Ovis aries: one gene and its partner. The protein of the gene in region 2 purifies or fractionates together with the protein of the main gene of each other region. This does not show direct contact. Links are inferred from orthologs where the notes say so. Each region holds a gene or a part of one and is shown on either strand. Other genes may lie near its edges. The genes, in order: DDX24 and TSPYL1.

Region 1 (3,810 bases), on a different chromosome or scaffold from region 2:
GGAGGAGTGGAAAAATAGCTCCAGAAAGGATGAAGACGCTGACACAAAGCAAAAACAACACCCAGTCGTGGATGTGACTGGTGACGGAAGTAAAGTCCGATGCTGTAAAGAACACTGCACAGAAAAGTGGAATGTTAGGTCCATGAATCCAGGCAAATGAAGTGGTCAAATAGGAGACAGCAAGAGTAAACATCGACATTTCAGGAATGAGTGAACTAAAATGGTCCAGAATGGGCAACTTTAATTCAGTGCTCTTAGCACTGTTACCCATGGTTGATGATGGTGCCAGAAGTGAAACATCCTTCACTTCCTCTTTGAGTACACATCCCCTCTATTCACTCCCCGGCAACAGCCCACTACCACACCTCTCCTCCTTCCTTCCCTACCTCTACATGCCTGAATCCTCTCCATCCCTAAATGCCAAGCATCTTTTAGAAAGCACTTTCCAACCTAACCTCCCACACCAGAAGTTATCTCTTTGTCCAACTTTATTTTGCCACTTTCTAGTATCTTCTGCCTTAAAATTATGGCTGCAGGCATCTAACCTCCTCTAGTGGATTTGATATTTCTTAGGGGCTGGGAACTGTATTTTGTTCATCTGGATATTTCTCATAGACTGACCCAGACTCTCCCAAAGAGAGGAAGAATAAAGATTTGCTCAACTGCACTGGCACCCTTAAAGACTGTTAAAAGCATGAAAGATTTAAAGGAAAAAAAAGAAAGCAAGGATTTAAAAGGAGGAATAATTACACCAGTTACTGAGTACTTATACTATGCTAGGTAATCCATCAGCATTAGCTCATTTAATCAGAGTAACCCCATGAAGTAGGTAGCAGCATCACCACTCCCAATTTACAATGACATTGAAACCAAAGACACTCAGTAACATGCCAAAAGCTAACCCACTCAGCAGCAGCCAATAAGCATTCAAAGGCTGGAAGTGAGGTTCGAGAGCCCATGCTCCCAACCACCACTCTCTGCTAATTTTCCCTAGGTTCACACACTAATACTAATGTCCGCATCAACAGCAGCTAACATTTAGGAAGTGCCGCCTGGCTTTCTAAACTCCTCGCACATAATAACCTATTTCACCTTGCAGGACTTAACCACCACTCTTTTCTCTATAGCAGGGCAATCATTTTACATGCTAAACTTTACTATGCCCATTTCATGGAAGAAACTAAGACTCTAACCTGCCAGTATTATGTAGCCAGCCCAAGTCAAAAAGAGAGGGGCTATCTGACATCAGACAATGTCAAGAGGTTTTGGAGAATAAATCTCACCATAGTAAGTGGAAGCAGCTAGTTGACCAGACACCAGTGGTATTCTCTGTTGCATGAGGCCTTGGGACCAACAATTCTCCTTGCTCTCTCCCTCAACCTTTGCTTTAAAAATCCCCTGCTCAATGCTGGGAGATGCCCACAAATTCCCCGATGCCCCTACCTGGTAATGGATGACATGCTGGACTTTTGGAATATCCAGGCCCCGAGCTGCCACGTCTGTTGCCAGGAGCACACAACTGTGGTAGAGAGAAAGCTTATTAATAACAACTAACAGCTGTCATTAATCAACTCCTTACCACAATCGGGTACTCTAAATACTGCAACCCTTATTAACACTCTACAAGATAACACTATTATGTATCTCCCTTTGAGAGATGAAGAAACTGAGGCTCACAGATATTAACCTCCCAAGATACATACATGCCTATTCGGCTGTGGAGCCAGGATCCAAACTGGGTTTCACTGGCCACAATCAATAAAGCCACACTCTGCAATAACACAGACTACTTTAAGTGAATTAAATAAGGTAATATTCTAGGTCCGTGACCTCGTCTCCTATCACCCTCCCACTTAATTCCCTCAGTCACACAGGTAGACATCCTTGCTTCTGCTCAAACATGCCAAATCCGCCAAGTCTTTGCTTAGCACCCTTCAGGCCAGAATGGTTTCCCTCAGACAGTCACATTTCCTTACTTTCTTCCACACTCTGCTCCAATCTCACCTTATGAGAAAAGCCTCCCAGACCACACACCCACAGTCTGCTCAACTCCCTACGTAACTTTACTTCTTAGCACCACTTGACAAACTATATACTTACTTTTCCCTCCACATGGATGTAAACTCCCTGTGAGCAGGGACTTTGTGTTATGCACTATTCTATTACCAGGCCCTAGAACAGTAGCAGGTTCAAAACAAGCACTCAGTAATATGTACTGGATGACGTTTCATAACGTATGTGTAGTTTGAGGAGAGTCAAAAGCACTTGAGGGATGTTTTTAAAATAAATGTACTAGATGAGAGCGAACCTGCCTCATGCTATGCAAAATTTAAAAAAAGACTGGAGGACTACCTTCTATTAATAAGGCTCCCAAGAGAGAAGGGAGCTTCCCACCCTCCTGGCAACCTGGACCCAATGGCCAGTCTGTGGACAGGCCTGACTTACTCCTCCAGATGGGCGAACTGCTCCAGGTTTCTAAGCCTCTGCTTCTGGTGCATGCAGGCATGCAGGGTCAGTGGCATGATATCCAGGACTTTGAGGAGCCCGGAGAGGCGCTTGATGCAGGAGATACTGTTGGCAAACACTAAGGTGCGGCCTGGATACTGCATCAGGAAGTAGTACAGATACAAGTCTTTCTCATCAGTCTCACAATGGATCTTGGTCTCTGTCAGCGTCTCTACCGTAGCCTCCTTTCTTGTGAGGTCAATGACCTTGGGCTTGCCCCTCATGCCGATCTTCTGCATGAGGAGGTCAAGTTTGGCAGTTTTGTCGATTTTCTTGGCATGCTTCTTGTGAAGGATGCGGGCAGGAGCTTGATGTACCAGGGTCAGTGTGGCGGAAAAAACAAGAGTCTGTCTCTTTGGGTTGTACTGGGAATCACTGAGCATCTCTAGCAGCTGTGAGAGCTCAGCAAAGTGGCCTTTCTCAACCATCCGGTCAGCCTCATCGATCACCAGGCACCTACAGATCCAGACAGACCCGTGATCACCAGGTTAGCAGCAGGGGAGGGGAGCCACCACGGCATACTCCACCAGTGGCCCCCGCCCCCGCCCAACCCAAGACAAACACCACTTTCACCACCTCCACCAGGGCCCTCAACTAACCTCCCGCACGCATACTTGGTTTTCTAAAGGCCAAGTCCCTAGTACCTAGTAGGGTACCTAGTACCAAGGCTTAGTACCCCACGATGGCACTTTGTGACAGGGAGGATGCACTGTGCCAGCTCACCTCAGGCCCAGTTCAGAACAGGGAGTGGGGGAAAAGGGAGGCACTCTCACCTGAGCTGCCGAAGGTTGCTCAAATGAGGGTGCTTTTCTTTAACTAGCTCCCACAGCCGGCCTGGAGTGGCGATCACAATCTCCGGCTGGCGGTTCAGCATCCTCTGCTGTTTCTGCATGGACATTCCACCAACCAGAATAGCGGTTTTAATGCCTATGGTTCACACAACACGAGGGACAGTGTTAGTCTGATTGCTTATTTCTTCCACCGTGAACACCAGTGCCCCCAGATTAGCAAAGGCTGCCAGTCAGCGGCACAGCTCCCCTCTCCAGGGGAGTGCTAAGAGCTGGCCTGGCCTGCTGATGCCGTTACTGGAGGGCTTACCGGGTCTGCTATGGTCTAGGCCTGGCCTACTCCCTCAACCTCATTTTTTCTACTCTTTCCCCTCACCCACAACAGTAGCATTGGAGTTGAACCCAGGCATGGTGACATCCGAGGCTCTGGAGAAGCAGACCAGTGGCACACCGCAGTGCTGGGAGAGATGGAACCAGCAGCTGTGACACTTCTCCCGGGGGAACTCCTGCCCGTCCC
Region 2 (4,539 bases):
ACCTCTGCTCTGGTCATCAGTTTCACACTGACACTCCCATTTCTTTTTACTGTAATTAAACAGGGTCCACCCACTGGGATAGCCCAGCACAATCTTTCAATTTCCTGATGCTTAACTGAAACATACCTACGGAGTCCTTTTGCCAGGTAAGATAAGATACAGGTTATGAAGGTTAGGACATGGACATTTTAGGGGGCCATTATTCAGTGTACTATAACAGAAAAAAAACAACCACCCCAAAACATTTGCCTCTTTCACATCTTGAGGTAACTAACCAGTTTTAAAACTGGTATCCAGCCGTTTGTGTTCTACTCAAGGCCATCTTGGTTATCCATTTTAACTGGCTTTTCTTCATAAAAATGGAGGTGGATGGCCCCTCTACCAGTAATTCTCCGAGGTCCCCTAGCCCTCTAACACCAGTTTTCCTCACAAGTCAACAAACTAAAACAACCAAAGACACTGACATCCCTTTTGAAAGAACTCTACAAGCTAATTACCATGAACAGATACTTCACCAGAGCCAACTTTTACTACCTTCTTTCAGAACTAAACTTGTTATTAGATTAATAAATCGATGGGGCTGGAAATAGCTTTTCTATTTCCTGCAGTGCTGGGCCGCGGAGAGAGATTCAGCAATTGATTCTGACTTAATTCCTGCAAACATCAAGCAAGCAAGCTCTTCTTTGATAGATTATCAAGGTAAGGCTAGCAAGGAACAATATGCATGAATGACTTTTGTGGTAAAAAGTCGTTCAGTAGCTTTTTCTCCCAGCGATGTTACAGTCCAGAATATTTTCACTACCCGAGAAAAGGGAAACATTTTGCTATTAATTTAGTTAAAAAATAAAGAGAATTTTGCTCCTGCCCATCATGGAGTAACAGGGAGATTTACCCTCTTGCCTACTGCTACTGCTGCTAAGTCGCTTCAGTCGTGTCCGACTCTCTGCGACCCCATAGATGGCAGCCCACCAGGCTCCCCCGTCCCTGGGATTCTCCAGGCAATAACATTGGAGTGGGTTGCCATTTCCTTCTCCAAAGCATGAAAGTGAAAAGTGAAAGTGAAGTCGCTTAGTCGTGTCCGACTCTTCGCGACCCCATGGGCTGCAGCCCAGCATGCTCCTCCATCCATGGGATTTTCCAGGCTAGAGTACTGGAGTGGGGTGCCATCGCCTTCTCCCCCTCTTGCCTACAAAACCATAAAAACATGTTTTCAGACAACAGAAAGCAGTGTAGTACTGGGATCCTTACAATTACCCCAGCGAACAATCTGGAGGTACTTCCAGATGCATAGCCAGGAAGGGAGGGGGGTGGGGGTCTCACTGCTTCAGCCTCTGATTGCGAGCCACATATTTACGTAAGTCAAATTACCAATCCACCGGATTAAATTCGTAAGAATAAAGCTAACACTCGTAAAATTAAAGTGAACACTCGGACCGTAGGAAGCCTGGTAAGACATCCCAGAAGCCGCGAGTTCTCGCGTCACATCGAGATCTACTGCCCTGACGTCATCCTCACGGAGTCACTCGCGAGATTGGAGAGTGGGTGGTACGAGCGAGCAGTTTTCGTCAAGCGGGGCTTCTGAGAGGAAAACAGACATTGGCCTTCGGTTTATCTGGGTACTGCCGACATGAGCTGCCCAGACCGGGGCGAGAGGACCCCTCTCCTTGAAACCCACAGCCTCACCCCATCCGACTGTGCCGCCGGAGCTCCGGACCCTCCCCGGTGCCTGAAAACAGAGGCGTCACAGGTGATGGCGGAGACGGGTGAGGGGTATTTCGAGGCCGTCGCGCTCCCGCCACCCCAGCTTCCAGAGGAGGAAGGCGCACCCCCAACTGCTCCCCTAGATCCAGGCTGTGCCGGTACGTTCCAGATCCGAGGCGGTGGGGATGGCGGTTACGTAGCGCCCGAAGCGGGGCTAGAGCCGGCTCCGCCTCCTACGGAGGGCCTGGAAACGGCGTCTGTGTCCCTGGCAACGGAGGATAGCCTGGGAAATGGCCGTCAGCCCGGAGAGCCGCAGGGCTTGAGTCGAGAGAAGCCGCTAGAAACTTGTGGCGCGGAGAAGTTGGGGTCTGACTTGATGGCGGAGGCGAAGGCTGAGGAAGTGAAGACTGAAGAGGGCCCTGTCTTCTCGGTCGCAGTGGATGAGGAGGTGGTGGGGAAGGAAGGAGCGAAGGAGGAGGAGGGAGTGGAGCAGGGAATGGAGGTGGAGGAGAGGCCAGTCGGTGAAGAAATAGAAATGGTGGAGAACAGAGTGGTGGAGGAGGCGGGGCATCGGCCCCTGCGTATGGATCTCCGCATGAACCCGCTGGAGGCCATCCAACTGGAACTGGACACTGTGAACGCTCAGGCTGACCGGGCCTTTCAACAACTAGAGCATAAATTCGGGCGGATGCGTCGACACTACCTGGAGCGGAGGAACTACATCATTCAGAATATCCCGGGCTTCTGGGTCACTGCCTTTCGGAACCACCCCCAGTTGTCTCCCATGATTAGAGGCCAAGATGCAGAGATGTTAAGATACATAACCAATTTGGAGGTGAAGGAGCTCAGACACCCGCGAACAGGCTGCAAGTTCAAGTTCTTCTTTCGGAGAAACCCATATTTTCGAAACAAGCTGATTGTCAAAGAATATGAGGTCAGAGCCTCTGGCAGAGTAGTGTCTCTTTCCACTCCAATCATATGGCGCCGGGGCCATGAACCCCAGTCCTTCATTCGCAGGAACCAAGAGGTCGTGTGCAATTTCTTCACCTGGTTTTCAGACCACAGCCTTCCAGAGTCTGACAGGATTGCTGAAATTATCAAAGAGGACCTGTGGCCAAATCCACTGCAGTACTACTTGCTGCGTGAAGGAGTCCGTAGAGCCAGACGTCGCCCAATAAGGGAGCCCGTGGAGATCCCCAGGCCCTTTGGATTCCAGTCTGGTTAAACTTTGCCGTTGGGAAGGTTCCTGCACAAGGTCCCTTTTTGCCTCTTAATGGACCTGTGCTTGGGCAACAGATACGGATATGTCTTCTAACCACCCCTCTCCCCCTCCCCCCCCCCCTTTTTTCTGACATTTCTGGAGCCTTTTTCCTCTGGACATTCAGTTCTCTCAGCCTCAAGATTGAGACAGTCATGGCCATGCTCCTTCATTTCCACATGGCCTTCGTGCTTTTCTGCATTAATATCACATGCTGCATGGCCCATGATTCATACCACTCCTAAATAAGCTTGTGATGTAAATTGTATAGTCTTTATCTGCACTACTTGGACCCTGTTTGTTCCCAGAGCCTCCGGTTTGACTCATATCTAGAGGTATTTGTCTAGGAGGCCATTCTACCCATCCTGATCTCTGCAGCACAGGCATATAGCCTGTAGATAACTGGGCGTTAATGACATCAAGGGAGAATTGCAGTGGGCCACTGGGCCTGTATGATTTATGTGACTCCATTGCTCTTGTTGCACCTCTGGTCACGTACTATTGCTGCCTGCTAATGGCTGTTCCCTTGACTGCTACCTACTGGATGGACGTCTGCTAGAACGTTGTCAGCCCCACTCTGGTTTCTGGTAAACAATCTCCAGGTTTCCTGCCAGCACTCAAAAGACCCTTCCATTTTCCCCAAAAGACTTCTCCTGTATTCCTCATCCCCTCCTCCAACCTCCCTTTCCTCCACTCCCATCATCCAGAACCCTAAAAACTGTCAGGCAAGTGGTTGAGGTGACAGGTTAGACTTCTCAGGGCAGGTTGGCCTAAAGATGGTGTCCATTCAAAGTACCAGGCTTTCTCAGTCTCTAGTGAATCACTCAAAAGCTGGGTACCTCTTTGTGCCTCCTTTTTCATCCTGAGCGTAATTAAGTGCCAGAGTGGCACCTTCTCCGTTGTGTCTGTCCTGTCTTATATGGTAAAGCTCATAAGCATATGCAAATCAGGTCTTTTAATTTGGCTCTCCATTATTTCAAGGAACAGGCTGTCTTGTTTAATAGATTGCCAGAGCTCTTATTTTCTTCTCTCTTCTGCATCTTCCACCCCCTTTAGCAACATCTAGAGGATTTAAAAGGAGACAGATTTAGATGAAAAGTGCTATCTAGGCCATAATTGATGGAAGAATTAAAGATACTGTGATGAGTGCCCAAAGCAAGAGAAACTGAGCAGATCACATATAGGCAAAAATGAGCCAGGTTAAAATTGGGCCTGAAATTAAGACAGAGTCTTCAAGGAGGTTGTCAGTGGTGATGGGAGAAGAGGTTCTTTTCCCAGAATTAACACGTGAGAATTGAAGGGGGTTAGAATGTTAAATACATTACCTAGAAAAGAGTTCTGTAAAAAGGGCAACTGAGTACTTTATCTTGTTTTCATTTGACTTAATTTATAAGGAAGGTTAGTACTGTGTGCTTTATTTCACTAGTATTTAGTAAAATCGTGTTATTTTCCTTGTTTCTGGTTACTGGGAAAATTGAGCTATACAGGCTTTATTTTGCTTTCAATTGAGAACATTTGGAAAAATGTGCTATATCTCTGATATAGACACAAATGAATATCTGTAGTGAATTTCAGCTTGT

What was found.
Region 1: the proteins of TSPYL1 (region 2) and DDX24 purify together in Homo sapiens (affinity purification with mass spectrometry; 3 studies listed by BioGRID and IntAct, counting the BioPlex papers as one, with this or other methods). This does not show direct contact. The link is inferred for Ovis aries from reciprocal best matches to the Homo sapiens genes TSPYL1 and DDX24.

Annotation. Positions count from the first base shown.
Region 1 is NC_056071.1:56,449,566-56,453,375, forward strand, and holds part of DDX24 (ATP-dependent RNA helicase DDX24), read right to left. Parts: intron 3,433-3,810; coding exon 3,279-3,432; intron 2,962-3,278; coding exon 2,446-2,961; intron 1,520-2,445; coding exon 1,444-1,519; intron 1-1,443. UniProt on the Homo sapiens protein: ATP-dependent RNA helicase that plays a role in various aspects of RNA metabolism including pre-mRNA splicing and is thereby involved in different biological processes such as cell cycle regulation or innate immunity.
Region 2 is NC_056061.1:21,654,578-21,659,116, forward strand, and holds the start of TSPYL1 (testis-specific Y-encoded-like protein 1), read left to right. Parts: upstream 1-1,521; 5' UTR 1,522-1,627; coding exon 1,628-2,926; 3' UTR 2,927-4,539.